4 linked regions of the Drosophila melanogaster genome follow. The protein of the gene in region 3 interacts with the protein of the main gene of each other region in a biochemical or structural test. Each region holds a gene or a part of one and is shown on either strand. Other genes may lie near its edges. The genes, in order: myo, Actbeta, tok and daw.

Region 1 (8,930 bases), on a different chromosome or scaffold from region 3:
CTAATCACAGATGTCATTACTCGGTATATATAACTATTTCCTTTTAAGAGCGTTGTCCCTTTTTTAGAAATGTGCTTGTAAGACTTCATTCTGCAACTTTCTCTCTTAAACACGGTGGCGATCGGAGAACATCTTATGGCCTCACCGAGTGAGTGGCAAGCCAAAGGGCATTACATATAATTTTAAAAAAAAACGGTATATTCCGAATGGGTGCAATGTATGACACAAAATAAAAATATTAGAGTTTCTCTTCTAATATTTTAAATTAAATTTCTGACCTTTTAAATGACCGTCGTCACTTTTTGGTTAAACCAATTCGAAATTAATTACGGTCAAAAGCCTTATTAAAAAACTTTCGGATCATAATTATTTCGACTAATATATGTACTACCTGCAATAATAAGAGGGCTTTTGGGAAAAATTCACACAGATGGGTTTAGTTAGTAGGGAATAATATTTACAAAATATACATACATATTTATATTACGAATGGTCGCACATGTATCCTGATTCTTTTATTAGATATTGATTGTCACACATTTTCTTCGATTTTCGGATGGGGGAAAAACAGTATGTGATTAAACACTAAAACGAACGTTCGTACAATATTGTTTATGCAATATTGTTTATATTTTCTGTGTATTTTGGTATTTTGTAGTATCGATTGGACTTCAGCACGCATCTGCTCGTATCAGGATGGCAACTCTCGGCGTGTAAAAATACAAACGGCAACTCTTAACATATATAGAAATCGATATGGCAACCCAATACCAGTGATTGCGTAGAGAATACGTTATTTTCAAAAATTCGATGCAGTAAATAAATAAATTCACAGATATAAGAATGATAATTTAGCAGACCTAAAGAATCGGTCCATTAATGAGCTATTAATAGTTCAACTAATCTACTCGTTGAAAATGTTGTGAAAAATATTTGAAAGCCAACTAAAGCGTTTCCTATTGTTAAACCATTGCAGAGCGTATAGTGATTTCTGTCAGAAAATTGCAACGTAGTGGAAATAATAGAAAAAAAATTATAAATTCTTGTTTTTGATCAGGAAGTATTTTAGTTCTGTATTTATCGGTTGAATGCGTGATCGCCATTTTCGTAATATTAGGTTTATCGCACGATTACCATCTATATGTGCGTAGATGAAGGAAAATTGACGCACTTGTTGAAATTATTTTATTTAAATCTTTATTATAACCAAAAAAAAATCGTAAATTGTTAACCACAATGGAAAAAATAAGTAGCTTACAATCCATCCAATAAATAATCTCTTATCAGTTACTTTGTTGATACATAAAAGAAGTCTTCTCCATTTGAATTGCTATTCTTAAGTAAAACAACAGAATTGCTGATACAAAGCAATAAAAATAAGTTAGTACAGTGTGAACACCTATCGTTTTCTTCCATATCGATAGGAAACTCATAAATGTATGTGTGGAAAGGCTTAAACATCTGTACGGGCGTCGATATATCGACAGCTAATCTGGAAAACACTAGACATCGCGGTAATTGTCCCTACCCTTTTTATGGAGTTCCCAGATTGCCTTCTTACACAACCATATTAATGGGCAATAATTATATAAGAAGACTGCGGAACAAAGGGGACCCGCACGAATATGTACTTGATTTAATATAAGTTTCTTTTATACACATAAAATTATTTTTGCATACTTATGTAAGTGCGTTGGGTACTTTTTATTAATTCCAGAGTAACGACATTTTTGCCGTTAATTTAAAACACGAAATGTTAGGACAAGAATGCGGAACTTCGGTTAAATTTTAAAAATTCCTTTGTATCAATATAGTCATTCCAGTAGTACAAATTAATACGCATGTAATTTTTGTTGTATAATAGCACTCAATTTTGTGTAATAAAAAAAAACAACTAGGGAACCAAAATTATAGAGACAAATCAAATCCTGCTAATAAAAATATATCTTATATAGTTTCTTCGGGTCTATTTGAAATCTTTGAAATGTAAAAATGTCTACACTCATAACTTATAAGAGTTAAAACGGCTTAAGGATTAAATTGATTTACAATAGAAAGTGATTATTAGCGACAGTGGAAATATAAATAAAATGTTTTCTAGAATTGTAAAAAAAAAAGTAGGAGTATATTCAATAAATATTTCATTTTAATATAATGCTATTTTGCTCGATAAAAATGTTAATATGAATTAAAGTTTACTCTTGCAATGCGTTTCAGCAGATACATTTTTAAAAGCGGCCTGTTATGCCAACTAAAACGAAATTGCCGGTGAGCCGTATGTATCCGATCGCATCTGATCAGCTGCTTTCAGTTCTACTTCGTCGCTCAATCGCACAGCAGTACAGAATCTCTGCGGGTTTTCAAATATTGGTTCTCTATGAGAAATAAATTATTATTATTTAGTGCGCAATTGAATACACAATTTTTTCAAACTATGTGTTTTTGGACAATGAATAATAAATTTAACAAAAGCGGATTGCAAAAGAATAATGTTCGAAACCGTAGGCCCACTGTTACTTCAATATAAAACATTTAATAATATATACTATACATATATTAAAACACACAATTGCCTAGTTTCAAAATAGATTTTGGTTGTACAAGTGTATAAAAATAAAATAAATACCGATAGATAAGTATATATCTACTTATGTACAATTGGTAGGTGTTTAAAAAGTTTGTTATCGCTAAATGTACATAACTTTGTACATACACAGCTTTAAAAATGTACATATGTGCTTATATGCATGCTATTTATTCTGTATGTATGTATAATTTACGTATGTACATACATATGATATATCTCATTTACGTTGTTCTGCTTGTAAAAGGGGAATAATGCACTTTCAGCGATGAACTGAAGTTCAAGAGCACAATAATTTATTATGTTTATAAATGGTTTTAATTGAATACAATAGTGGTCATAAAGAGGACTCATGTGAAACGTTTATGAACGGGCTTTGCATATGTGCATGTACATATGTAGCTTGAACTAACTTTTACGACTGTGTGCACATTAGGGTGGTCATTTTCTGCTGGCGCATCGCGCTTCCAAGGCGGATCAAACAATGCAGATATGATTTTTAATTTTTAAAAATCATTATATCCGGTGCTGCAGGATTTTATACTTCTACTATATTCAAAGTAAGTTTTTTCGTAGCCTGAAACAAGTTTTTGAAGGTTATTATTCCGTTATTCCGAGTTTTAGAATATTCACGAGCACACAAATCAAGTGACGATCGCAGCCTCACCGTGCCGATTTGTGACGAAAAATGGTTTTACAATTGTCAGTGTTTTTTCCTAAGCTTTATAGCCATAGAGCCATTTTTCCCTATGGCAGGTATATAAGTGTATGGTCGTCTGATTTTGATCGATTAAAAACCTAAATTATATATTTTCAAAAAAATGTGCATACTGAAGAAGAACTCTTTTTATTTGAAAACAACGAGTCTATAATTTTTTTCAACAGTTAGCTATATGATATGATCGTCAAAAGTCTATCAATTTAAAACCGAAATATTATATTGTCCAAATTTTGCCAATAATTTTAATATTTTTGAAGTTAGAGATCGTCAGTGGCGTAAGCTATTCAATTTTTTTTTTTTTTTTTTTTTGTATTGACTCGCGAAGGGGAATCATTGACTTCCGTGCTAATGCTTTAATAGGGTTTAAAGGGGTGCGCTCTTCTTTTTTCTCTGCACAGCTGTTTAAGGTATTACCTTGGGAATCCGACTTAATCGAATACAGCAGGGGATTATCTAACAGCTTGTATTTCGCGATTTGATTTTTAAAAAAATTGTAAAATAAGGCCAACAAGAGCCAAGTTGATTGGATGACAAGATCACCAGCCGCTGTCTCCAAAAATAAATAATAATTATTATTTTTATTTTTTCTTATTTTAAAATATATCAAGTATATTTATAAATACAAGTCCTTTTCAGCATTCATCAACGGTTTGATCAAAAATCATGCTGGCCAACTCATGCTGCGGTTGGAGAAAATATAAAACCCATGATCAGCATCATAGAACCCTAAAGAAAAAAACTCGACAGAACACATCAGATACAACAGTTCACATAGAAGTGAACTCCAACGAAATCCAGTTTCCAGGTTCTTACAGATTTAATCTTGACTCAAAAAAAATAAATATCGGGCGAATGAATATTCTTGGACATAAGAGAGGTAATTTCCGTGTAACTCGATATGTCACGGTCACCGTACTCTTAATTTTATCGACTGCAGTCAATGCTTATGCTCAGCCAGAAAATAAAAGCTTCAGTAATTCTTCCAACAACGATAGTCCGGAAATGGTTATGTTGAGTAACGAAACAAACAATAGTGCAAAAGTACTATCAGAAAAAAATGGTTCTTCTTCAATATCGGCGGATGATAAAATAAATGAAAATATGGGAATATTCCAAATGAAAGTACAAAGTAAACCGGGGAAAAAAAGTACCCCTTTAGCAAAGGTATCAGAGCATGGAGATTTATCAAGAGTTCAAAGTGTATCTTTGTATCGCAATACCTTAATAAATATAGAAAGTATGCTACAGCGTCAGTTGCGTGAGAAAGCCAAAGTGGATAGTATAGAATCGATTAAAATGCACATACTTATGCGCTTGAATTTAAAAAAACTTCCCAATATAACAAAACCAATTTCAGTACCACAAAATATAATAGATAACTTTTATAGAGATTATAATGCATCTTCAAAAACTACTGTTTGGAATCGCATGGAAAGCATTGACGAATCTCATTTGTCTATAAATGACACTTATGGCGACCACATAATGACTGATTTTTTTGATGAAAGTTCATCCTCCCAAATGCAGGGAGATGATGCTAACACTGTTAATGAATTTCTGATAGATTTGAATAAAAATCAAGCTAAAAAGTCGGACATTCCTATTAATACCAACGATGAGGAGTACGAGAGTATTTTGTCTCACATCAGCAGTATATACATATTTCCCGAGGGTAAGTAAACAGCATTCTTAAAGTAGATATAGATATAGGAAGATATTGAATAAGAGAAGATATTATATATAAGAGTAGGTATAGATAAAGGGAGGAAAAGACAAGGAGAGCTTAAGAGAAGTAAAAAGCATATATAACGTCACTAAAATCTGTGTAAATATATTTCTAGACTTTTTGTAAGTAAGAAGCATAATCATTTATCTTATATTTATATCTTTTTTGGGCCCGATTTGGTTATAGGTTTAGATTTCGAACTTTTTTCCTTTAATAAGAGAAAGCAAGCAAAAATACATATGACTTCTTCTCTATCTTTAGAAATTGTTTTCCCAAAATTCATTGGCGTAGTGTATTTTCAAAAAAGAATCGACACATTTCCTAAAATCTTGACGAGGTAAAAGACAAGTGGCATTGACCCCTTTAACATACAAAAAATGAACTGTTTACAACAAACATTAATCAATACCCAATTTTTGCTTTTAAGAAATCAAATTTCAATGAAAAAATTAATAATTTTCGTTTATATTTTCGTTCTTTTAGAAATTCAACCTCATGTTCGGCACAATCGCAAGGTCGATGTTTTTCGGTTTCAAATTGACAGTAGCTACTCAGACTTGTCTTACGCTACCCTTCATCTATATTTACGTGGTTGGGATTGGATAAGTGCTCATCAACCTGGACTTCTTGAAGAAATTAAAAAACAGCCACGTAAAGATATTGTTGTGACTATTCACCGCGCTATTAGGGTTGCAAATACAACAAGCTTTAATCCTAAAGTCAAAATGTTTGAGTTTCGACATAGTATTCCGTCAGGACTTGGACAATGGGTTGCTGTGGACTTAAAGTCTCTGCTTGGTAATCTTGGGTCTAATATGACGCAAGAAATTCTAATAAAGGGCGCAGAAACCTGGATGAAGTCATTAGTGGTGACCACAGACAACACATCGAAAAATCCATTGGTTAGAAGCCATTTATAATGAAGTTGAATACACTTACTCTACTAAATATATTTTTAATATTTCAGACTGTTCACATAGAAATTGGGTCGCAAAAAAAGCATCGAAGAAAGCGCAGCGTATATATGGACTGCACAGAAAATGATCATGACATGCGCTGTTGTCGATATCCCCTCAAAGTTAATTTCACCAGCTTTGGATGGCATTTCGTTGTAGCACCAACGTCCTTTGACGCATACTTCTGCAGTGGTGACTGCAAAGTTGGTTACCTAGAGCAATATCCCCATACACATTTAGCAGCCTTAACGACATCGGCCACACCGTGTTGCTCGCCGACAAAAATGAGTTCCTTAAGTTTGTTATATTTTGACGATAACCATAATCTGGTTTTAAGTGTTATACCAAATATGTCTGTCGAGGGTTGCAGCTGTTCTTAGCGAACAAAATTCGAAAGTGTTCTTTGAAAATAGAACTAATACATATGCTATGTAAATAAATTAACGCAAAGGAATATGGATCTGTTTGAGAAGGCTAGTTTAAAGTACAATTCCCAAATTTGATATAAAATTTACATTTTTAAAATGTAAAATAGGTCAGATTGCATGCTGATGATTCCCAAATTAATAAATAGATCGCAATTAAAAACAGTAAAAAATTAAAAAATATTTAAAAATGAATTCCTACATTACCGTATAAGATAAGTATAGAGCGAAACAATATATTTTAAACTGTGCATTACGAATTACAAATGAAAAGCAAACAAAAAATAATCGTTTTAAATAAAATGATTGTATGACGCATAAAGAAATACACGGTTAAAATAAACTAAGTACCTTAAGTTTTGATAAAAATTGAGTGAATAACAAATGGCACCGTCAGACAAATATAGTCTGAACGGAGGCTACATGTGGATCATTTACGGTTGTGTGATTACCTAATTTGAATACACAGCTAAATGTATAAAGGTGTTCATATCCCGTGCATCGTGAGCATATAGAATATTTTACAGTGAACGGCTTTGTGCGTGTGCAAACGAGACTTCCATATGCTGTTCTTTTCAAGACAAGTAAGGATTTGTATGAATAATGTTGATTAGAACAAAGGCTAACCTTACGTTTCGCAAAGCACACAGAACTTATTTCATAATAATTAAAAGTTAAATAACGTGCCAGAGAAATATAGATATACAAGTAGCAATGCAGCGCAGTGGCGTTACAGCGCTCACTTTCTCTATCTCCATCTACATAGTGTTAAAAAAAAATATGCTAGAATTGGTTAGTTTTGAAACTTATTCCGATTAGTTCCTACGATATAAGCTCGAATGCTTGGTTGAGTGCCAAAAAGAACTTATTTTTCTTATGCGTTATTTTCGAATCTTCTATTAACACTACTTGTCGCAGGATTGGCTTCTAAACGTTTGCAAGAGTACTTAGGAGTTGTCAATAATAATAATTTTGACAAGTGCTCCAACATTAGCTGATGATAGGTAAGCACTTAAAGGGGATAGTCGTGAGATGATTGTGTGACATTCCGAATATAGAGTGGGTGAAGATAAAAACTCTTGAAAAAAATTACGGCATTTTGCCAAAAACTTAGGCTCGCTAAGGAGTACCATCGCCAAGGAGTCATACGATCTTATCTGGATTACACGTCTAAAGCGTTCTCTTGTTTTTTTTTTTTTAATAGAATATGGGTTTCGATATACCTAAGCTTTCGGTATAAACTCATAATGTCAACCCCCCCCCCCCCCCCCTTTTACTAATAAGCCAACCAATTTATTTATTTCCGAAAAATTTATTATATAACCATTTAGTGATACATTAGTATATAAGTTGATATACTTATATTTCCATAAATATTTCTCATATAAATTTAGGGCTCTCGGTTCTTAAGTTGGCCCTTTAATGTGAATACTAATCAGTAAAATGGGAATGCCGATCTAAGTCGATATATGAAATGTACTTTAAGATATATTACTTTTTGTCGAACACAATACGGATATTTTCATATTGTTAATATTTTGTTTTTTGTTGTTTAATGTTTGTTATTGGGCGCTTACTTCTCTTTTAATTACTTTTGTATTATACTTATAATTATAAATTTTAAATTAGGTGAACGTATTTATATTTTACATCTATATTAATTCTTATTGTTGTTTTGCATAAATTATTTGTTTTTGTTTCCCAATTGAAGTGATACCTCGTTTGAATTAGTAAAACATTCGTTGTAAATGTATTAGCCGCCAATTATAAGTTAAATGCAAGTCCTTACAAACTGTGTACAAAAATATTTACTACTCTTTTTGTTTGTACGTATTACAAATTATATTTTTTGAAGACTATTCAATCTTTTATTTGAGCGTAGCACAATAGAATTTATTGCAGAACCAAACGGTCGAATTAAATATGCCACCAAGATGTTAAACTTGGTAAAAATAAATTAAATAGACATTCTTTACGTCTTTATTGGAATTAACATTTTATTGTTGCACAATTTTTTGCGCTATTCTAAAATAAAAGATAAAATGAAATTTAATTTGTAACAAAATATGTAAGCAACATTTTCAGGTAAAAACATTTAAAATATTGACTATAAATTGCAATTGTGAAGATATTATATTTTATAATTTTTCAGAAATAAAAATGTCTCAATTGCCGAAGTCCGTAATTTAATCTGAACTCGACTGTTGGGGTATCCATATTTTCTATCATTAATTTTCCATGAATTTATTTTCAATGTTATATGGGAGCTTTTTTCATCAAACAATAATTATGGTTCAAGTTTGTTATAAGCACCATAGATACCGTTTTATTTAAAAAAAACGTAAGTAATGGAATTTTACAGATTAATATGTTCTATTTATTTTATTTAGATATACTTATTCTTTGTCATATGAATGAGAACGCATTAAATACCTTACAACACTATGCTATCTTACGAAGAATATTATTTAGGGCTAAGCAATGCGTATATATAATTATATAGTATGTATGTATAAAT
Region 2 (9,054 bases), on a different chromosome or scaffold from region 3:
TAATATGTTACAGAATTATGTAGTGTACACAACAGAATATTCAGGTGTTCATTTACCGTCATCCCTTGAATTCTTTTGCGATCGAAGGAAATGTCTTGGACGGTTGCCCGCGCTTTATTTGTGAAACACCTGTTAGACCGAACCGGAAAAAACCTACCCTTCGATCGCGCCTCTGTTAATTTTCCTTTCTGCTTATATATACTCCTTACGTGGTTAATTCGTGCATTAGTACCAAAACTGGTGTTAAGTCACTAGCAAAAGTTCAATGATCTTAAATATTATTATTATGTTATTATATATGTATGTATTTATATGAAGAATTCTGACCAATATAAGCTCTAAAAAAATATTCGAAAATTTTTTTTAGTAGCTTTTCATTTAGAAGGCTTTTCTTTGGTTATTCCGCATGCTAAACGGTGGGTAACTATTTGTGTTCATATGTGTGTATGTGTGTATATGTAAGTATATAAATATTTTTGTAGAATTCGCCTGGTAGCTTTTGATATAAACAATCGGTATTCATATGTTTTGGTATGAAATTCGGTATTTCAATCGTGGCTCGTGGCTTTTCACGGTCTGCAAGCCAACCGAGACAGCTTTTCCGCCGTTTCTTTTGGTTGTTTTTGGCTGCTAGGTACTGGAAATGCTACTGCTGTATATATTATGTTATGTACTATTTATTTATACTACTTACTTTGTTGGTATACTCTTTCCCGGAATAATACATATAGTTATTTCCGGAGATTTTCGGGAGCCGAAAGTTAATACATACAGACAGAAGGGGCTTTAACAAGTCGATAGCACATAAAACCAGAATAACATGATATCGGCAAACTAAGGTTTATATACTCTTCCAATTAAAACAATGTCTTGGATAAAGTTTTTTAACCCGTGCCACTAACGTAGACGACCGATACATGCCAGTCAGTCCCCTTGTCCGTCGGTCCATCTTTATAAAAGTCAAAACCTATAAAACTATAGATATCAAAAAATTGAAGTTATCCGTCCAGATTCTAGTAACTCCTACGAGGCTTTTGCTTGTATCAAAACGTAAATTATTTATTTGTTATGTCTATGTACATGTATGTATATGATGAAAACAACCAACAACAAAATATTCGTATTCTATTTCTAGTTTGATGCAATCGTTTCGAAGGAAGTAAAAAGTAAATGTAGCCAATAATTGTAGGTATTCCGGTGAAGTTACGTATACATCCTCTTTGTTCTTTCTGTTAAATATTCTTCAGAGAGTACGGTTTACCCTTTTTTTGTTAACAAGTAAAGGATAAAGAAATATTATCTGCTGGGCTTTTCCTTATATCGATTTGCATAACTAAAATCAGCAAAATAATAGAATACTTACTCGAATTTCACATTTGGAAAGTATGTAACAACCAGAAGGAAGCGTTTCCAACCATATAAAGTGTGATCAGGATCAATAGCCGAATCGATCTGGCCTTGTCCGTATGTCCGTGTATCCGTGTGTCCGTCCGACCGTCTGTCCGACCGTCTGTTCGACCGTCCGTCTTTCCGAATGAACTCGAAATCTCATGTACTGTACGTAAACGTAAAAGCTTGAGATCAGCATACAGATTCAAGCGACATAGACGCAGCGCAAGTTTGTTGACAGATGTTGACACGACCACTCTAACGCCCACAAAGCGCACAAAACTGGCACGCCCACATTTTTGAACAATTTGTGGATAGTTTTTCATAATTTCATCTAACGCCCACAAACTGCACAAAACTGCCACGTCCACACTTTTGAAAAATGTTTTTATATTTTCTCATACATACTTTTTCATACAAGACTAATAATCTTGTAAATTTCTATCGATCTGCAAAAAACATTTTTGCCACGACCACTCAAAGCGCTAAAATCGACCAAAACTGCTACTCCCACGTTTATGAAAATGTATTGGATATTTTTCATAATTTTATTAGTCTTGTAAATTTCTATCGATTTGCCAAAAAACGCCCAATATAAAGCCCGCAAACCACGAATAACAGGTATAACAATTTTTTCCCATTTTATTTCCCCCTAATATCGATATCCCAGAAAAATGATGAAATTTTGCGTTCGCATTCGTACTAGCAAATGAATATAATATTAATATTTATATCTTGATTTGAATCTAACTGAATTGGACGTAAAGTTTTACAGATAAATCTGTTAATGTTTAGGCGCACATAGATCGACACAAGATCGACTGCTAATTTGGAATTTTGGGTAAACGATTCCATCTACGCTTAACAACATTTTTATTTATTAGTTACGATTACGATTTAAAAATGATTTAGGTTATTGAAATTCATCCATTTGAATCTGCCGACTTTTTAATCGTGAAAGGAAGCATATATCGATAGCATCGATATTCTTTCTAATTTGAATGGCAACAGATATTTCTGGTGCAAATATGGCAACGCTGAAATATTGTTATTTTCAAGAAAGCTTTTGAAAAGCTTAAAGTGTCATCTTAGTTTCACAAAGTATGCAATGTCATTTAGCAACCAACGGAGATACAAAATATTGTTTCCGTGCTAAAAGGAAAAGCATAATACATTTATAAATCGTGAAAATGTGATAGTGTCCCTAATATTTCTCGTGAAGAAATATATTTACTTAGTTGAAAATTTATTGTTTCTAAAAAGAAAAAGGTGATACATATTGTTACATACACTGATCATAAGCCTATACACATAACCACCTTCCTTCTTACATATGTACAAATTTTTTTGTTGAACGCATGCTTTTAATTCCTCTTCATCCCTTTCCGCTGCTAGGCTTCTAAGTAACCACCATTCAGGCGTAGGTCTTTTCATCTGGACACAGTCTGTGTGTCGCCTTGAGTTCTTCAGAAGGGACGGATGAGTCTGTCTGTCCGCTTCTGTTGGTGCATGGTATGAAGTATTTCTGGCGTAATAATAACTGTGCCATCCGAAGCTCGGCGTCAGGTTTAGACTAATTTTAATGTGTTGTACCCTTTCAAAGTGTATATTGATTTAAGTCAGTTTCTTGCAACGCAGTAAAGGAGACAATTACGACCACACGAAGAATATATGTTCATCTGTATGGCTAGCAGTAAGAGCCGTAACCGTCCGTCCGTTTCAACGCAAACTGGTTCAATTACTGGTTAATTATCAAGTAAACAAGTATTCGGAGAATATATCATTTAAGATTTGTATACCCGTATATATATTCCCTTACTCGTAGAATCAAAGGGTATACTATATACGTTAAAAAGTAAGTACCATGTAGAAGGGAGCATTGCCGAGCATACAAAGTATATACAGGGTGCGGCAGCATAATTTCCTTTTTCAGAACTCAATGAAAACTATTGTAGGCATCGGAAAAAATTTATTTTTTTTTATATTGTACGTACATGTCATATTTTTTGAAGATGAAATCTGATAGGTGACGTCCCCCATTCTCCATACATTGCGTAAACCGATTTCTGGCGTTTGTCGTGAGTCTTGTTAGCATGGCAGGTGTTATGATGGCAATTTCTTCTTGGATGTTGGTTTTCAAATCTTGTAGGGCTCTTGGACGGTTCACATAAACACGGGACTTCAAAAAACCCAATAGAAAAAAATCACAAGGGGACAGATCGTGCCGGCCATTCCAAATCGCCTCTAATTGAGATAAGGCGCTCTGGAAAGTGTTCCCTCAAAACAGCCATCGATGCTCTTGAAGTATGTGCTGTTGCACCGCCTTGTTGGAACCAATTTTTGTATATAAAAAACACTTTGGCCACAAAACGAGCGAAACGGTCACGCCCACATTTTCAAACAAATTTAAAACTTTTTCGTATCTTTTTGCACAATATTTATAAATATCCCTGAAAAATTATGAAACTTCGCATCGGGGAAGTCGACTATAGCTTTCTCCGGTGTTTTTAATTTATTTGCCAATTTGTAGCCTCCTCTCTTGTTTAGTGTCCATATTAATTTCCAGTTAGCTTACCACTTATCTAATCGAAAATTTGTATTTTGAACAGGCAGACGAAATGAACGACAGAAAGGAAAGGAAAGGAAAAAGATTTGCAATGATTAAAAAAATATTTACCAGAAAAATAAAATTGACAATACTTGTACCACGTTTCTAAGGGACAGTGCCTGTACTACACGCTTGCCATATATCAAAGATGCGATTTGCCTTCGATTCTAATCATTCGCAATCGGGGGCGCCATTCAAAGGCAGCAGGTGTTTCTTTAATTGTCAATGCATCTGCTGTCGCCAAGGATGCTGCGTTGTGGTTGTAAAGTGCTGTTGCTGCTTTAACTTAAACTGCTGCAACAGCCTTGGCTCCCGGAAGTCATTTCCACAACCCGCTGCAATGCGTAAAAAAGTTGCTGACCTCGAAGTCCTTAGAGTATCAAGGTTTGTGGCGGTTATTTTAGTGCTGGCTCGGTGGGTTACTGCGGTAGCGACACTCCTGACAAGCTGCATACTCCTAGACATATTTTCCGTGCCTGGCCAGTCTGGAGTTGCAGATAGAAGCCAAGCCAGCAGTAGGACAGTGCACGTCTCGGTTCCTACCACACCTAATGAAACTCCCAGTAGCACTTCGGAGACGAAGCTAAAGTTGCTTTATGGGTATACATCGTATGACATAAATAACGACCAACAGGTAAAGTCCAACAATTTATGTAGAGTGCTTTGTAAAAGTCGCAATCGTAAACGACAGCGAAGGAGGCGACGCCGACGCAATCACAGACGACGCAGGCACAGATATACTAAGCGACTTCATCATCTAATGCAAGATAATATGAGCGGCTTTGAGCAAAGACTTAATTTTAGCGATGCCAAATGCCAGTCTTTGGAGACAAATTACGGAACTAATTATGACTTAGTACAAGGAGGTAAACTATTTAGTCAGTCAGAGAGAAGCCTACTGGTGTCCCCTTTGAGGGAAATTGAAGCACCTTGGCCAGCGATTCATGGTTCAATGCGTAACTGTTCAAAGATTAAACGCAATAGAGCCAATCTTATTTGGCTTCTAATTGGACTCGTCTGGTTTGAAGTCAAACTTATAAATTGCAATGGGATCAGCAGTAGTAATTATTATGCTTCGAATTTGGAGAGTCACAAGGGCTGCACCTTGTGCCATGAAAGCGGAAAGCCCAACATATACACCGATAAAGGTCAGTTTTCAAAAAAATTTTTTACATACTGAATATAGGGTAATCTTTTAATATTCTTATTGAGACTAAAAAAAACTACATTGAGTTTGGCGTTATTAAGATAAAACAGATGTGAGTTGTTGTGAAATAAGCGGTTATCGTACTGTACCAAAACTATTGCAATGCAGAATTTTTTGTAAAATAAATTTAATTTGTAAGATTTTTGTGCTATTTTTAAGTAAAATAAAATCATTTTCAATGATTAAATTAAATATCTATTGACAAATGTTGTACCACTAGTAATGTAAATAATATTTAATACAAGGACCACCCGCAGTAAGCCTGGGATATTCATACCCCCTTAAAAGGGTAAATAACAAAAAATACAAAATATCTAGAACAAATTTTCATAGTCTGGGTGAGTTTTTATCTTAATATTGCAATTTGTTTATCTTAAGGATTGGAAAAATTTGCTTGCTACACGATTAATTTCGTACATATTTTTGAATTAAAACATTACGAGTCTTGAAAGGTATTCCTGTCTCGTCTAATTTTATTGTCATAAAATAAAAAAATTATATATTGTTCTTAACGTAAAAACGAAGGAAATGTCGCTCCAGTGACGTAAATATGTACAATACTAGTCAAACTCGGTATTGCAAAAAAAAACAGTAGAGGTCATAGGCGCTGGATTTCAGAAACTATAAATAGATTTGATTATTGATTTTATTTCTTTTCGAGATTTTTGTGAACCATAAAAATAAATCCAAATCTTAAAATAATAATGCTAGCAAGACAAAAAAATATTTTTAAAAAACGATAAAACTTGTGTGATATCGGGTAATGAAACTTTACTAAAAACATAAAAACACTCCATACAACAACAAAAATTTATATAATGAATTTTACATAACACTTTACAATTATCACATTCACACAGATAATCCACACACAGACTACAACATCTACAACAAATACCATTCCAACAATAATTTCAACAAAAAAACTAATCAACCCCATAACAACATTGCACCCAGCGATGAAGTTCGTTTGGAGTCAATAAAACGGCAAATTTTGACAAAGCTTGGTCTTAGCCACAAGCCTAATGTATCTCATCCTTTACCAAAGCAATTTATTTGGGAAACAATATATCGAGTCGATGGTGGACGAATGATACCAAACAATGCATTTGGGAGCAGTGGTAAGAATTTAGATCAGAAGACTATCAAGCTGAGGGCGTTTGCCTCGCCCGGATCACATTTGTTTAATGGCCGAGGTGGAAGGACCGATCAGAGAAGCGAACGGGATCCCAGTCATCATAAATATCGATCCCCGTTCGATTTCACTTTCAATATAAGTAAAAATAATGTATATGGGAAAGTATTGAGAAATCGTTCTTTAGAACGAATCGATAAAAAAAACTCATTCTTAAACGGATGGACAGAAAACCGTCAATTAAAAATAAACTCTCAAATTGCATCTATGCCTATAGAACTAAAGAGCCACCATAACAGTAGTCCTAAGGAGCTTAAAAGCGGAGCGGTCAGAAAAGTTAATGGCATCAACGGCACACAAATGAATGAGAATGCCTTAAAAAAATCTACATATCCTATAGATATAAATCATAGTATTGATAATAAAACCCATACTGGCAAAAATGGTGAGATGAGCCACAATGATTATGAATATTTTAACGATTACAGTGTTCAGACTCATGATAAAAACCGGTACCATGAAGGTCGCTCTAGCATTGGATATCAGCCAGCGATCCACAACATAGAATATGAAAATCAGAAAGGACATCACGAATCTTTTGCTGATGATCATGAAAATATTGATCATGAAGACTTCTTTGGAAATACGCAGGAAATAATTACATTTGCTGAAGAGGGTGAGTAGATTTTTATTCAACACAGGATTAAACGCTATCGTCGAGGGCAAATTAAAAAATAAGAGACGTCGAGTTCGCCGACTATCAGATACCTGTTACTATAAATAAGTAAATATAAATTTTATTTTATACCCGTTATAACTAGTGGGTACGCAAACGCGAAATTTCATAATTTTGCTGGGATATCGTTGGATATTACGGGGAAATAAAATGAGAAAAAAATTGTATAATTCTTTAATAGTGAGGGAGTGAGCCTCTTGGGCGTTTTGTTGGTGAAAGGATGTGCGTGATCACAGTGTTTTGGTATACCGGTGGAAATTAGCAAGACAAACAATAAAACAAAGAAAAATCTAAAAAAAATTTTCTAAAGTGTGGGCGTGGCAGTTTTTTGGCAAATCCATAAAATTTTAAAAGACTAATAAAATTATGAAAAAATATCCACAAATTTGTCAAAAAAAAAAAATTGTCGGCGGCATTTTTTGGGTCGTTAGAGTGGGCGTGGCAAAAAGTTTGTTGACAAATCGATAAAAAAAAATGTACAAGACTACAGACTAAAAATATGAGAAAATATCAAAACTTTTTCAAAAGTTTTCGGAGGTTTGTGGGAGTTGGCTCAACACACGTGCGATGCGTTTAGGTGTCTACAATCGGTATGCTTCTAGCTAGTATGCTTCTAACCTTCTAGCTTTTATAGTTCATGAGATCTAGACGTTCCATACAGACATGGCTAGATTGATTCGGCTATTGATCCTGATCAAGAATATATATACTATATATAGTCGGAAACGATTCTTCCTGCCTTTAACATACTTTACTATACTATACTATACTATATACTATAGTTACTATTATATATTATTATATTATAATATATATTAATATATAGTAATAGTAATATACAGTAATAAAAATAAGAAAGAGTGATCGTGCCCAAAAAACATTAGGCAAATCAGTAGAAACCGGCTTGTGGCGGTATGTATGGCATACCGATAGAAATTGGCAAAACAAATTATATAATGACTAAAAATAAAAACGCTTTCTTAAAAGTGTAAGCGTGGTAGCTTGTGAGAGTGCTTCTTCTCTGAAATTTTTAATTTTTTATCTGAACTTTCTAGATTTTACAGGCCCTGACATCGATACGATCGATATGGACAAAAACGAATATATTTAAATACGTTATATTAAAGTTGAAGTAGTTGAGGTTTTTTTAATGTCTACCAATATCCGCCATCTCTAACGCCTACAAAACGCTTAAGAGTACATTTTATATACAAAGCTTTGATTTTTAGTTAACTGTACAAAAATTGTAAACTTTACAATATATCTGTTTTTGAAGAAAAAAAACAATGCAATATATTTTTTTGTAATTCGCTCATATGACTGTGTGTAGTCTTCTTATTCATTGGCATAATATATTTTATTTTAAGGAACCCAATATCGACAATATCGAATACTCGAGTTTTCGGCCCAAAACCGCCGTGTTCCCAGCCAAAAATTATCCATACGAAGCGCTCAGATTCATATAAGGATAGACAAGCCACATAGTCTTTGGATTGAAAAAGCAAAAAGTTTGCCAGAAAAACATTTACTAAACACTAAACGAAAATGGGGAGCAAATAAACCACATCACAGAATAAAAATATGGGTATTTCAGTTATCAACTTCAATCAATATTACGGAGAAGGTAACATTAAAAATATTGTTTTTTAACTAATTTTTAAAGCTCTTTATTTATAGGGAATAGATAAGGCTATTATCTTCCGAGCTTCTTTTCAAGTTGACCCGAAAAATTTAGGATGGCAAAAATTCGATTTAACCGATACAATCCGTGAATGGTACGGCCATACCAGTCACGAAAAACTGCGTTTGTTGATTGATTGTACTGGATGCGGTGGTCGTTACTCTTTGCACCTCTTTCAAACTTCGAAACTGAGAGGAAACTCATCCGACTACTTGAGTACGAATCCCAATCGACCATTTCTCGTACTTCATACAGAATCATCCAGAACAAGGCGTGTTAGGCGACGCGCCGTAGATTG
Region 3 (5,741 bases):
TCAACTATGCTCCTCTGGAGAAGTGAACGGCACAATGGAAACCATCCAAACTGGACTTGGGAATAAAAACTCTAGATTTTATTGTAAAATTACAAATTAAAGCTTGATCGATAGCCCTAGAAGTTATGTATTAGCCCAAGTTGGTCGACCCTCACATCTTGTCCATGAACCACGGCTGTCCGTTGTTCTCGCGACGCTTGGTGAGAATCTCGCATCCGGTTTCGTTGACCAGCAGTGTCTGCTCAAACTGGGCGGAGTACAGGCCATCGGCGGTCACAGCAGTCCAGTCATCTGGCCAGGTTTCAGCCTTCTGGACGCCAACGGAGATCATGGGCTCGATGGTGAAGCAGTGGCCAGGGGCCATTACTCCTACGGCAGAGTTTTCTGCAAAGTAAGGACATTAATAATATTCAAAGTACTTTTAGCCAGCTCGAAAACTTACTGGCATAGTGAGGCACATTGGGAGCTGTGTGGAAAACACGGTGAATGCCATGACCGCAATAGCTGCGCACCACGCTGAATCCATGTGGTGCCACATACTTTTGGATCACGTTGCCAATATCGCGATACTTTTCACCCGGACGCACGAACTCAATGGCCTTGCTGAGCGCCTCGTGGGTGACCTGCACCAGTTTCTTGTGCTTCTCCGAGACATTGCCCACAAAGAAGGTCTCGTTGAGATCACCATGGAAGCCGCGATGATAGACGGTCACATCGATGTTACATAGATCTCCATCCTGTAGAGGACGCTGATCGGGGATGCCGTGGCAAATCACCTCGTTGACCGATGTGCAACAGGACTTGGGGAAGTTGTAGTAGTTGAGGGGCGACGGATAGCACTCCCGTTCGATGGCGGCCTCGTGGACCAAACGATCCAGTTCGTCGGTGGTGATGCCCACCTCCACGGCTTTGGCACCCTCATCCAAGCATTCTCGACCCAATCTGCCGGCCACTCGCATGCCCTCGATCTCCTCGTCGTCCAGCACCTTAATCTTGGTGCCCCGCAGTGCTTCCTCCGAGAGTGAACGTCCTGCTGGATGATCGGCGTAATCTGGACGTTGTATGGCGTTCGGAACTGTTCGCTTGGGAGTCTGTGGGAACGGGCGGAGCTTGCCGGTGAAGCGGAAATGTGGCCATGGATTGTAGGCTCCATCCTGTTCGGCAGAGTTCGAGGCACCGGCTGAGTCAAGAGAATTATATGGTTTCATTGCAATCCAACTCATTAGGAACAAGACTTTCTAAAACTGACCTGCTAAAGCATGAATCGCCTTGTGCTCCTTCCAGAATCCTTTGAAGCACGGCTGCGAGCAGAAAAATGAGCCCTTGATGCCCAACTTTAGGCAGGTGGGACACTGCAGGGTCGCATCCTTGCCGCAGTTGGTTGTCTCGCACTTTTGAGTCATTCTATTTCAACAATTAATGCGAGAAAAATTTCCGTGCCTGCCAAAAATAGTTTAACACAGCGTGACCGCACCGATAACGATAGAAAATACCTGGAAGCTTTAAAATAAATACCTTTTTATACCATTATATGACAATATATAAGCAATATGGCTTTTTGGGAAATTTGCCTTACGCTTCAAGCAAAATCATAATTCTATTGGTTTGATATTAAATACTGTTTTCTGATTAAACATTAAAAAAGTTGATATTAAATAAATACCAAATCAATGTTTAAGAATGGCGCTACATCGATATCCGATGTTTTCCAAGCACCGATAGCCTGGGACCAGTTCTGTTCTTATCGATACGTTTGTGCCAGGGTTGTTCGTCGCCGGCTGTAACGGGCATTAGTTTAAAATTGGAAATAACTTGATAACCATTTTATGTGTATTTAACCATTTAAAATGTTACTATTATGGTAAGTGATTCGTAAATAGTATTCATATGATAATTAACATAAGAAAAGAGTTAATAAGGGCTTTCCTTACAAATGGTTTAAAATCGTTCGAAATTTGAAAGTAAACAAATTAAATATGTAAGTTCTTCGCGGAGATCTTTGATCTGGCTAAGGGACACTGGCCCCGTGAATTCGTGGCCTTTGTTTTCGTCCGTCGGGGCGGCAGTTCAAACGCAGCCGCCTGTTGGGCACTTTTCCGCAGTTGTTCTCGGCGCATGCTCTTGGTGGGAACAGTTTGGACTTGGACTCGGTTTATCTGTCTGCTCTGTTTATGTTCTCAAATCGCGAGCAACTTCGGTCGTGAACGGACGTGCTTTCGCTGTAAACTCGGAATCGGTGTCGCGAAACAAAAGAATATTGGCAACAAACTTGTTTGAGTCAAATGGCCAAACGCAAATATCCGCAAAGGGCAGCAGGATAAATTTATTGGCCAGTGAAGTGAGTGAGTGTCTTGTTTCGAATTGGTTTGGCCAAAAAAAAAAGAGGACCCCTTTAATATTTCTACCTGCAAGGGATGCTGAGATTTCGGCAGAGTTTCGCATCATTTGCGAGCGCAACTTAACTAACTCAACAAGTGAATTCAAGGGTTTTCGCTCCTCCAATTACTGATTTTGTCCTCGTGATCTTCGTACTCGATTGAAATTCGATTACGATCGTTTTGTGTGTGTGCATTGAAATCAGCGTTATCAGTGTCTGCCCTGATCTTTGGTTTTGCGTTGAACATGTTTATTATTATTCATTTCTCTGGTTTCCCGCGCCCAACGACAATAAGTTAAGTAAACACGCTGTTTTTGTTGAGGATGCTGCTGCTGCTGTCTGTTGTCGTTGCTGCTGTATATGTTGCTGCTGCATGTGTTACAGCTGTTTCCATAGTTGCTGTTGCTGCTGTCACATGTGTTGCTACTGTCTCTTGTGCTGCTGCTGTTTCCAAAGCGGCTGCTGATGTCAATGTTGCTGCTGCTATCGCGTATGTTGCTGCAACTTTTTTAGTTACCGCTGTTGCTGCAATCTCATATGTTGCTGCTGTTTCTATGGCTGAAGGTGTTGCTTCTTTGTTGCTGCTGTTGCTGCTGATAGGAGCGCAGCATTCGAATGGCTATAAATAAAAAACGGCACGCGGTGTGTGCAGCAGTGAGAATCCCCCGGCCCGTCTCCGCCGGATTTTCAGCACCACCAGCATCGCTTGATTATTATTGGTGGGTGTTCTGCGTTTTACGCGACCACACACAGGCACACTGCCACACACACACTATTATCTTCGCCGTGCGGTTTCCACTTTTCCGCTTTTCATTCCGTCGTTAAGACGCAGCACATATCTCGTCAATTGGCAATCTAAAGGCCGCCGGCATAATTAAAATAGAATCATTTCTGATTTCGCTTTGTGTCGCACAGACATGTGTGTCTTATTTTGTTTGTTTGTTTTTTCTTTTTTTTTTGCAATACGGAACAATTGCGAAAGTCAAGGTGGCCGCGAAAAGCCGCGAAATAGTAGGGAATTCCTATGCGATGGCAACGAACTCGATCTCTGTGTACCCAACTCATCTTGTCTGGCCTTTTATTGATTTATTTTTTCCCCGGCAGTCAGTCTACTCTTTTTTTATGTTCCCCTTTGTTTTGACCAACGATCCTCGATCTTCGACGGCAATTAAAGGCAGGCCAAAATGGTCCAGGAAGGCAGACATCAGCCTTAATTTGCTTTGGTTGCATTGCCTGCTCGTCTTCGGAACTTTTTCATATGCTGCGCAGTGCGTACTTTGTTTGTTTGTGTGCCAGCCGAATGGAAGCTGATGGAAATTTATGCGTAGAGAAAGGTGGAAGAATATGAAATGGAAAATATGAAATTTTTGAATTGAGTTTGTGGAGGAGTGGGGGGGGGGGGCTGGGGCGGTACACCTAACACTTCCGGTTGCCAGAATATCAACTTCCGGTGGCGTAGAATTGTTAGCGGGGAAATGCTTTGGCACAAAAGACGCATATTGATATTGTTGCCCAGGCTGCTTACGCTCCAATAAGCACACCCACACACACACATAGGCAGACATACAGACGGGAAGGTCCTTCGTCCTTGGGAGCCAGAAAACGCATTTCATTTTTGCTCCAGTGAGTTGGCCCTTGTCTGGCAAACGTTTTGTGGCAACTTGGCCATTAAGCATTTCGTGTTTAAGCAGCAGGATCTTTCCCTCGCCCTTCCCTCTCAGGACGAAGGACCAACAGGACAGTACAGCAAGGAATAAAAATTGCCCGCGTATGCATTTCTTAACAACATTTCTCCACCACCCTCCCCCTTCGCTCCCCAGCGACAACATTTCATTTCATATTTTGTGGCAGCAGCGCTTTGAATAGAATTCATTTGGATTCCCTTTCCCAGGACACCTCGTCCACTTCCTTTTGCCTTTGTCAGCCCCTGGGTTTCCGCATCCCACATCCCAGAACCCAGATCTTCCACATCCCTCATCTTCCTGGAACACGCACTTCAGACTGATAGCGCCTGCTTAACAAATTTCTGCTGTATTTTTCGGTTCTTGTTCTCCACTTTATTATATTCCGTCTTCTTCTTTTTTTGCCATGGCAATGGGGATTTTTCCGCATTTTTAGCTGTCGCAGCAGGGTAAAAATTAAAAGCGAATTAAGTTCGAGGAGCTGTGGAGGCATCTAAAAGGTATCTAAAAGGTGGACAGCCGAAGATAACTGCACTTGACGCCGGATAGACCACAGGCATTATTAAACCCCAAATTTACCTGCCAACCAGGCGGGGTGGCAAATCTGCAAAAGAGATTTGAGTTATTTTATGGATATTACTAAGTATTCTGTATCTGCTACAGCAGCCATGAATTGGGGGGCTTTTTGGAAAGGGTCTTTATTACACATAACAAAAAAATTTATAAAAATATAGGTCTCTATATTCTTCAAATGGCTCAATCATAGTTATTTACTATTAACTTGCGAAAAATACCCAAAAGTTCCTGTCCTTTTATACATCTTGCACGTTATTAGTTTGCTCGCTGAATTTTCTCAGTGTAAGATCCCATGAAATACAAATATTTTTCCCTATGTAGGCACAACAGCTGACACCATCCTGCTAACAAGCAGCCGTCGCATCCACATCCTCCTCCAAAGTCCTCGAGAACAGGAGCACCCTGCCATTGAAAGTGTCACCCCAAGCTACTTCTTCTGTATTTTTACTTCATCTTTTGCCACGCCACTTTTTCTGCACCCCCTTCCCTCCGAATCACTTGGTTTCTTCCCAATTTCGGTTGCTATAAAGCAAAGTTAATGATATGTCGCAAGTGCTTGTTTGTCTGCCTGACTGGGGATGAGTGTGGGTGAGTGGCTCCACTTCCAGTTGGCTGAATACTGTCGTCGTTGCTGTGGCCCCATTCCATGTGTAATTAATTAAAGACTAAGCAGATTTTATATTTCACTTACTTGCTTGAGACTAATTTATGAGTATTTCCACTTTTTGTCATATTTCAAAGTCTGCACGATAGACTAATTGGGTAGTTCAGTAGTGGTAGTGAAACGGGAAATCTTGAGGCATTCTTAAGGGTCAAGGATATCTTATAGATTTGCCTCGTTGCAAAGCTATTCATTGAGCTCTCAATGGCTTCGATTGCCTTGGCCGTGGTTTCGCCACTTTTTAGTTGGCCAAAGCCCAACTTGGGCCACAAACTTTTCACTGGCCGTCAGTTTTCTCGGATCGTTTTCACTTGCACGCATTTACAAGCAAGAAGTTAAGTCGCCAGTTTGCTCAACGGGGGGCATTTTCTCGCTGGAATTTGTTGGCCCAGTCGCCCTTTTTTATTTGCCAAATTAAAAGGATTTCACTCGCTTTTCATATTTG
Region 4 (8,979 bases), on a different chromosome or scaffold from region 3:
ATTAAAATCAATCACTCTGCAGTTATAAAAAAAACTCTGTGACGTTTTACGAACAGGTAAGTAAGCTGTTTATTAAAAAGCAATACATTTTTACAAATCAATTGTTGAATTGCAGAGCTTACCAAACTGTAAAGTGCCTAAAGGTATGCTATATTCCATGGACTTCCTACAAACCAATTACATTTTCGACACAACGTTTTACCATTTTTTAATTAGTTAGGATATTTTCTAAGACCCTACATTCCATATTGTAACTCAGATACTTGGTTTTCTATACAGTAATGTGCATTATGCACTCCGATGAGTTTGTGGTACGCTGCCCCTATGAAAAATGCATATCTTACATTATATTAATTATGTTTTATTTTGCGATTTTCATGTTTTCTGCTAATAACTCAAAACACGCTACTTAAACAATGCAAATCACTACTTTACGTTTAAAGATAGCTATTAAATTAATTGAAGCCATTGGCTAACTACCTACATACTTCGAGAGCTTAAGTACATTGACTTTAGCTTTTAACTATCAACTAGTGGCAGCTCAGGCACTACAGGTAACTACGATTAAATGACAACGCTAATGTAAATGCTTTGCAAAATGAGTTTAAATTAGTTGGAGAGAAATGTAGTTGGATGGTTGGATGCTAGCTGAAATGGAGCGAAATGGAGTCTACGTCTAATTTGTCCGATGTAACGTAAATGTAACTTGGCTAATTCTATTCGCCTCTCTATCTGCAGCCACATGACTCCACCACCATGTTGGGCAGCGTCTTCACCGTCGCCGTGTTGCTCGAGTCCATCACGACCAGCTGCAGCGAGGAATACTGTTTGGCGGTGCAGCAGGGCACCAACTCCAGCGACTTGTTAGCACCGCTCGTGGAGAGAATTTTCTGCAAGGGAAGAGGATATACATTAGTTTCATCATCAACACATCAGTTCCTGTCGAATGGGGTACCTACCATTATGGAACTGTGGTGGGAGGCCGCTTGCGTAACACTCGCCACCGAGCTACAGGATCCGCGACAGAAGTAGGCATTGTAGCCCTCCGGCTTCAGGATCCAGTTGCTCCAGCCGATGTCCCGGAATGATATGTACAGGTGCTCCCGACAGCACTCGGTCATTCCGCTGGAGCAGTTGATGCTGCGCTTCTGGCGACTCTTGCGCCGCCTGTTCTGCATGTCGATCACGATGAATGGCCGGTAATCCTTGTCCACCGAAATGATCTCCTCCATGTCGCTGACATCGCAGCCACCGCAGGTGATTTGGATGAGGTGGCTCAGCTCGTGGCCACTGATCCAGTGTTTGATGGGCCACTCAATGTCGATCTTCATCCACTCATCTGAAAGTATGCGAAAGGAAAGGCAGAGCGGTTAGTTGGGGGTTCCACAGAGCCATCTTCTCTTCTCCCAGAATCGTAGATCCCATCTTTCTTATCTGGTAACTGACCCCAGGAACTCACAACTGTGCTGGGTTGTGGCCAAAGTTCAGTTTTTGCACCCACGAATAATGCTTTGTCAAGTTATTCACCCACATGAATTTCAGATTCGAGCCGAGCTATCAAGCAGTGCTATCACGAATCTGCGCAATGATCTGTCTAATTGAAAACACAAACAAGCGGTTGTCAACGTTGGCACTTATCGGCGTTCTTTATAATTTTTATAATACCCATCTAGTATAGACATGTCACATATTTTGATTTGTCCCCCGAGGGTATTGAGGGTCAGTTTTGGCCGTTCCGCGGCTGCCGACCAAAGGTCCAAACGTGTGCGATTCTTTTCTGGGCATGATTACGCTCTGGGGGGATGAGTGTTTATGCTATACTAATGTATACTATGTGTACCCACCTTGCACATTCACCGACTGGATGGCTATGGTCTTGGCCGCCGACAAATACTTGGAGTCCTTCTGCTGATCCACCTCCACCTCGGAGACTACGATCGTCTGCTGGGCACTGGTGCTGTTCACCGATGCCGTGTCGGTGCGGTTCTGTTTGTTCTTGAAGAGCCACAGGACGGCGGTGCTCACGTCGAAGCCCTCGGCATCTGCGTCGTCTATCTTGAAGGTGAAGCACATGGACGGATTGGATTTTCCATCTCTCGCTCGGTTGCACTCGACCTCCTCTGTAAAAATAAAGGATAAAGGGTTGTGTTAGCAAAATCAGAATGGTAAAAGGATTCCCTTTGAAGTTAAGCTTCAATCTTTACTTTCTAGTGCTTAAATCTAGATTTGCTTACCTCTATTGAGCAGTATGAACTTCTTGCTAGTGCGAGCGTAGTAATCGTCCAGCTCCTTGTTCTTGGTGCTATCGTCCGGATGGGAGAGTGTCATCCCGTCGAAGATGGGCTTGGGCAGCTCCACGGCCGACACCTTGGGGCTCTCCTTGAGGCGCAGCTTCTCCAGGATCTGCTGCTTAACGAACTCGATGCGTAAGTGGGTCAGCTGCTCCTCGGTGATGTGCTCCACTTGGCGATTGCTCTCGCACTTGGGGCATCCTCCGGCGCTGGACTTCACCGAAATGGTGATGTTCCTCTCACCCAATGGGAGCTCTGGCTCTATGGGCGTTTCCGGCTGCTGATCTAGGTCCAGATCGAGATCGAGATCCTTCTCCTGATTCTGCTGGTCCTCGGCCATCAGTTCGTTGCGCACAAAGTCCAGCGGCGACAGATCATCAAAGTGATCATCGGAGGAGAGGGATGACTCCTCGGGGGCATCTCCGTACATGATAGGCAACTCCACGGGCGGGCTCACATGTCGGTGTGCCTTCTCCTCCTGCTCCATGAGGTGTTGCCACAGGCGGGGCACCTTTAGCTGCTCCGAATGGGAGCCGGGATGGTTGTAGCTGAGCTCCTGCTGCAGGAGGTGCTGCCTCTTGTGGATGACGTGGCGCCTCAGGCGGGCATAGTACTCCCGCTTGGTGATCGGTACATCGTCCTCCTCGCTGGTCGGATCCGGTTCCAGGTGTTTCAGCTGACGGGATCGTTGCTGCCGGATATGGTGTTGCTGCTGCAGCTGTTGCGAGGTGTGCTGCACATGGGGATGCGGCTGGTGCTTAGGATGCGGACGAAGGATGTCGCCACGGGAACTCGGATGGGAGCGGGCGTGCAGGCGATTGTATACGTTCCTGTTCTCCAGGGCCAGACACACCAGCAACACCAGGGCTATAAAGTACTTGGCCATTTCTGAATATGTACTTATGACTTCTCTTTTTTTTTAACTGTGAGATATTTTATATGTATCTTATGATCTTCTGGATCGCCTTTGGTTTCACTCTTGTTTTGTCGGCTGGGGCTGATTGCTATCTGTTTGGCAGCATTAAAACATCAATTTTTCCGGCTTTCAGGTTTACAAAACTCATAGAATTGCAGCTGGTTTCACTTATTGTTGCCGTTTTATAGCCTTGTTTAAGCACTTTTAAAACGTTTATGCGTTTTTTATGATTTTATATAACAACGACTTATACGCTTGAATGATGCATGTTCAATATTTTAAACTTTTCGTTAAGTTTCGTCTGCAAATAAGAAGAAATTTGTAACTTAGTTAATATTGTAAGCACATTCCGATTATTAATCAAATAAATTAAAACAGCTATGCCCTAAATTTTCTCATAAATATTTGCGAACGCGCTGCCCCAATTAAAATGCAATTTAATATGCCAGCGGATCAGGTGCATTTATCACTATCACTCACTAAGCCCGAAGTCTCGCTTAATTTTTGCACCAAATTGCATCATTTATTCCATATCGTTGAGCTCGAATTGGCAGGTGGCAAAGTGCAAATCGTTTTTTTGACATTAATTCCGGGAAGATTTAGTTTAGTTCAGTATTCAATTTCACATTATCACATGGGCTATTTGCCCCAAGTGCGACTCAAATCGAAAGCGTAGTTGCGCAGATCCGCTGATAAGCGGGCTCAATTAGATGGCAATTAGGTGGACGTGGACCCCACACGTACCGTGGTGAGCACACTCCGATTTGCTCCAATGGGATCTGAATCTGCTCAGCCGGATGAATCCGGCGGGGGTTGCGGCATTAACTTTGAACCCGGACACGAAACACGAGTGGCACGGGCCTTTAGCTATAGCTGGGATCGCGCGTCTATATAGTATTCCACTTGTGGTATGGTCTATGATATAGTATGGTGCTTCTTTCTCTTCCGACATGCGGCAGCGCAAACGAGTTGTGAATGAATGAAGCGGTTGGCTGATTAGTAGAACAATTTATGTGACGATCGCCGAGCGTTTGATTGATCGTTCCGCGAGCGCCAGCCGAACCGAACCGAACCGAACCGAAACAATCCGAACCACTCGAATCGCATCGTATCTGACGGATCGTTTCGTATCGGTTGCGGACTCGGATCCAAGCCGAGCGGTTCGGGTCTCGATTTATGACTATAGACCATGGTTATGGCTACATGGCGCTCTCTCTTTAGCCGAAGACAATTGGATATGCAAGTGGGGTGCAGCATTGCATCAGCTTCTTGAAAACGCCAAGCCACCGAATTGCATAAAATTCTTAATTGCAATTTTATTTTTAACCTCCCGCCACCCTGACAATGCCACGCCCCCAGTTGGCGGCGTCACTATCTGTTGGCATTTTTGGCACTCGCTTGGCCACAATGGGGCATTTTGATATCAAGTGAATTTATGATCGCTTCAAACCGAATCGAATCGAATCGAATCGAGTCGAGTGGCCCATTCATGCTAATTACCCCGCAGCGTTATCAAGCTTGACTTTGATGATCCGACTCGATTGTGTGTCAATCAATTAATAGTGAACACGTTGCTGATAAGGGGCGGTTTCCCACTTTTGGTCCACAAATCGGGAGCATGGAATATGTAGTGCGGCATTTAACCAATTAAGTACGCTTAGCATGCGATTCTGGGCAATCCTAATCGGATTCGGTTAATAGATGCGCATTTCAAATACATAGTGTGTCTGTTTTCCAATTTAAATGCGAATGGGAAATTCATGAGTATTTCGGTTGGGAATTTCATCAGCCAGAATTTCTGGTCTCGGCTAAATGTGAAGCAGTCGAGTAAGGTCAAGAAAAGTATTTTGAAGGCCGGCAGATCACGAGTTATATTATACCGCCTATTCGATTTAGCCTTAAATGCTGAACACGTGCCCGATTCGCTTGTCACGAACTGTGATTTTTCTGAACCCAATTAGATCATCGAGACGAATAGAAATGATCTATACTATACGGAGGAGAAGGTCCGTTTAATTGATAGAAATTTTGTAGGCCTCAGCGAATTCTGGCAACATTGTTGGTGCGGCTTAAGCAAAAGCAAATTAATAGGGGTTCTTGTTAGGAAATAATACAATAAACAACTATAAGTATTGCATACTCCCCAATTTCATATTAGATTATGACACCTTTGACTTGCACAATTAAGTTTAGTTTTACGTGTTCCCATAAGTTACATAAGGTATTACACTTTTCCAGTGGCCCTTTTCCAATTTAAATGACGTCCTGGCCTTCAGCATATGTCGCACCACTTATCAACTCATCGCATATTTTTCCACAACCTACGTAGATTGCCACGTTCCAAAATCTGCTCCATTTTGTTTTTTCCAACACAACCAACCTGACGTCGATTAAAGCGACTGGGGGCCACATAATGACGGATCAGATCGGATGGGATGGGATCTGATAGAATGGATGGGGATCGGATCAGGAAGCAGGGCTTGGATTGTAGCACACACGCGACATGTGACACGTTTTGTACGTACTCTTCGTTTTTGACGTAACTCGAGCTGTCCGCACTGCACTGGACTTAATGACTGACTTGACTGACCGACTTATCAAAGGCAGGAATCGAAGCCGAGGCGTGCGACTGCGATGTGATGGGGGCCCGCGGAAAAGGGGTGCCGCTGGGAAGGGGGACAGAAGTTGAAGAAGGTCATTTAACGCCCGGCAGTCATGGCTACGTCATCGAGCACGCCACCAGCGCGTGATCAGAAGCAAAAGCTGTAGTGAAGACTCCGCGGTTGCCATGTCGATGCAAATCGGAGCAAAAAACTGCTGTGCCTGTGAATGGGGAGTTGGGGGTCTGGCGATGCGTCGATTGGAGGTGCAAAGTACAGCCGCTTGATGGAGATGGCTTCTTGACTAAGCGACTCTGCTTGGGGGTTTTCCATGGGCCTGCCCGTATCATTTTCGCATTAATTACGGGGCAGCTGGGACTGGATGTGGGGCTGGGACTCGGACTTGGAGTGGGGCTATCGTAATTGCCGGCAATTATCACTTGCATTTCTTCTTCGCGCGCAGCAGTTGAATGCACTGCGACAAAAACACGGCTGCTTCCATCGGTTTTTGGCAATAAATCACGGCGATCACGCCGTTCTCGCCGATCAGCGGTTGGGAGCATGCCACGATCTGGACTTTGGAACCGCTCACGGAGATTGCCCCGATTGCCAGAAGCCAGAGGCCCGAAGCGTCGCAAATTAATCTGCCATAATACTTTTCTCGCCACACGCTCATCGGCGATGCTACCATAAATCAAGTGCAGGATTAAATAAGATCATCATTGGTAGCAACTAAATTTGGCCAATGACTCTCGACGTGGCCGAAATTCGCCAAGAGCTTTTGGAGGTTATGCGCCTGGGTTATAGGCTCGAAAACTATCAATCAATCAATCGGTGATAGATAGGCCTCTGATCGATAAACCATTCACTGCATGATTAGTTTTTAATTACGGCATGATATTCCAAAAGCGAAACTAGAAACTTCCCTGCGATTTGGTAATAACTGATATTGAGCATTAGACTGCTAAAAAAAATATACAATTTCTAGTATCCCATGTTGAGGCTGATTCCATAATTCACATTTTTGGCACTTTTATTTAAACTTCTTACACAATAAGCCCTTGTGTTATGTAACTCACCCAAATTAATAATCCATTGTCAAAATGCTTGAATAACTTAGCACATTGTTTGCAATCTTCTGCGAAAAGGGATGCTTATCAAATGTCCTTGAGTGATTCTACAATCGATTGTCCGTTTATTTGTTTTCGCAAATCACTTTCGCAAACTCATTATTGTTTTGAATTTCACCACTTGAACTTGATTTCCTCAAAATGACGAGCTGATATTTCGCTGAGCAAAAACAAATGTTTTGAAGAAACATAAAGTATTATTCGTTCACACCAAGTTTCATGTACGATTTGCACGATTTGAATAATTTTCGATCCGATCGTTGGGAACGTCTGCGTGTGAATAATTCGACGATGGGCGGCGCAGCGGCCACAAAAGCCTGGAGCGGTACGACTAACGGTATCTGTGGGGAGCGGTATGGGTGTGAGTATGGGCCTGGGTATGGGTATGGGTATGGGTATGGCCCACTCTTCGGGCGGCAGACAGTTGAGTTTCAGTTTGTTTGATAACAGACACGCCGCCGATCATTGGCGCACTCCGCTGCTCTGCGTTTTAAGCGATGCGCAATTCTACTTTGCTTCCAGCAAGTGCGACAGAGAGAGAGAGAGGGAGAGCAGGGAGAGCCACTGATAATGGGTGGCTTTCCCCCCTGGCCCACACAGCAGCGTTTTAGGTCCGGTTGGCTCCCATCCGATCGCCTCCTGCATCGAACACCCACGCCGCTCGAGGCTGGAGCATCGAACAAGTTCGCTGGCCGGCGCTACATGTTCGATGGCCGTTCGTGAGTTCGAGCTTGTTGGGAATGAGGATCGAGCCCCAGCATTCGTCACCCAAAAACGTGAGCTGACGTCGTGCCGGTGGGGTTTTATCGCTCGATCCAACCGGTCCAAAGTTCAGCGGCAGTCCAGTCCAGCGGATTGCCTTTGACTTTCCCTGATAGCCGACATTGCCTAATGGCGATTGGTTCTCACAGCCAAAGCGATACCATCGCTTTCTTTTGATGGCCCAATGTCTATTAATAAGCGGTACTAGCGAGAGGTATGACTAAAATTGACGTATAACCATGAATGCTAGAAGAAAGTACATATGTATCATCGAAGAATATGCAAACAATGTCGTGTAAAAGACTGAACAATTAGATGTAATATAACGAATGAACTAAGTATACTCAATTTCAGACTCCACCCTACGTATGCCTTCCTGTTTTTGTTTAGCTCTTGGCCAGCTAATCGCTTTCCTCTTGACCAATTTACGATGTGGCTTTTACGACGTTTGGGGTTTCTTGTTTTTAACTTGCTGGCTGCTTCAATTGATTACCATGTGTGATATCATAATTTTGAAGTTTTCACGCCCGTCGAGCATGGGTCTCTTGAGATTACCTCGGAGGACAATAGTATGTAAATGGCTAATATTAATTAAATGCTGGCTCTGATTGCGTATCGCTGTGTTTCACTTTCAAACCTCATGCCAATCGACTGATTAAGTCCGTTCCGAGTTTTGTTTACCTTGAGATTTCACAATAAAGCATTCACCTCAAATATAATGCGATGGAATCGCACAATATACCTTTCGTGATTTGTATACTCAGGATCGAGGCAAAATCTCACTCGAAACGTCTAATTTTTAAATGTGGCGCGCGTGCTGAAAAACACGTCACAATGCACGGCTTATCGTGGCCGGGCCTCTGGAATTTCAGTTTTTAATTAAAACAGTGTTTTGGTGTCATAATTAAGTCAACAATATATGATGCTTATACCCTTGATAGGGGTACTATGACTTTAGTTACACGTTTGAACTGCAAGCTTAAAGTTACCTTAAACATCTAAAGATTCATTCTAATATTTTCTGAACTATTCATCGCTTCATTTGATTATAAATGGCCTTATTCGTCTAGACTTTGGCCTTGCATTTGATCAGGAAAATTCTATGACTGTCTAGTGAGCATTTGATTCAAATTACAGATCAGGAAAGTAAAGTCTAAGAATGTGAACTCAAAAAATAGAGTTATTGAAACGATTTGAATCTATTTCTACTATTCCTGGTTTAATAGGTTAAGAAGAGGGCCAGCAGAACAAAGTCTTCTGATTACAGAGGATTTCTTGTT

Evidence for each region.
Region 1: of the proteins of tok (region 3) and myo, one has a biochemical effect on the other in vitro, tested with the Drosophila melanogaster proteins (one study listed by BioGRID).
Region 2: of the proteins of tok (region 3) and Actbeta, one has a biochemical effect on the other in vitro, tested with the Drosophila melanogaster proteins (one study listed by BioGRID).
Region 4: of the proteins of tok (region 3) and daw, one has a biochemical effect on the other in vitro, tested with the Drosophila melanogaster proteins (one study listed by BioGRID).

What each region holds. Positions count from the first base shown.
Region 1 is NC_004353.4:689,428-698,357, reverse strand, and holds myo (myoglianin), read left to right. Parts: upstream 1-2,302; 5' UTR 2,303-2,661; exon of another isoform or gene 2,662-3,020; 5' UTR 3,021-3,144; intron 3,145-3,941; 5' UTR 3,942-3,968; coding exon 3,969-4,977; intron 4,978-5,514; coding exon 5,515-5,933; intron 5,934-5,998; coding exon 5,999-6,367; 3' UTR 6,368-7,672; downstream 7,673-8,930.
Region 2 is NC_004353.4:1,078,218-1,087,271, reverse strand, and holds the start of Actbeta (Activin-beta), read left to right. Parts: upstream 1-2,475; 5' UTR 2,476-2,658; intron 2,659-3,998; 5' UTR 3,999-4,145; coding exon 4,146-5,145; intron 5,146-6,064; coding exon 6,065-7,015; intron 7,016-8,442; coding exon 8,443-8,699; intron 8,700-8,752; coding exon 8,753-9,054. UniProt on the Drosophila melanogaster protein: Controls several aspects of neuronal morphogenesis; essential for optic lobe development, EcR-B1 expression in larval brains, mushroom body remodeling, dorsal neuron morphogenesis and motoneuron axon guidance.
Region 3 is NT_033777.3:24,717,879-24,723,619, forward strand, and holds the start of tok (tolkin), read left to right. Parts: upstream 1-1,818; 5' UTR 1,819-1,861; intron 1,862-2,178; exon of another isoform or gene 2,179-2,342; intron 2,343-5,741. Other genes in the region: Polr2L (RNA polymerase II, I and III subunit L), read left to right, coding at 1-26; CG13630 (uncharacterized protein), read right to left, coding at 152-384, 443-1,180, 1,250-1,403.
Region 4 is NT_033779.5:2,803,509-2,812,487, reverse strand, and holds daw (dawdle), read right to left. Parts: upstream 7,228-8,979; 5' UTR 6,887-7,227; intron 4,167-6,886; exon of another isoform or gene 3,952-4,166; intron 3,509-3,951; 5' UTR 3,178-3,508; coding exon 2,235-3,177; intron 2,121-2,234; coding exon 1,845-2,120; intron 1,340-1,844; coding exon 960-1,339; intron 891-959; coding exon 729-890; 3' UTR 112-728; downstream 1-111.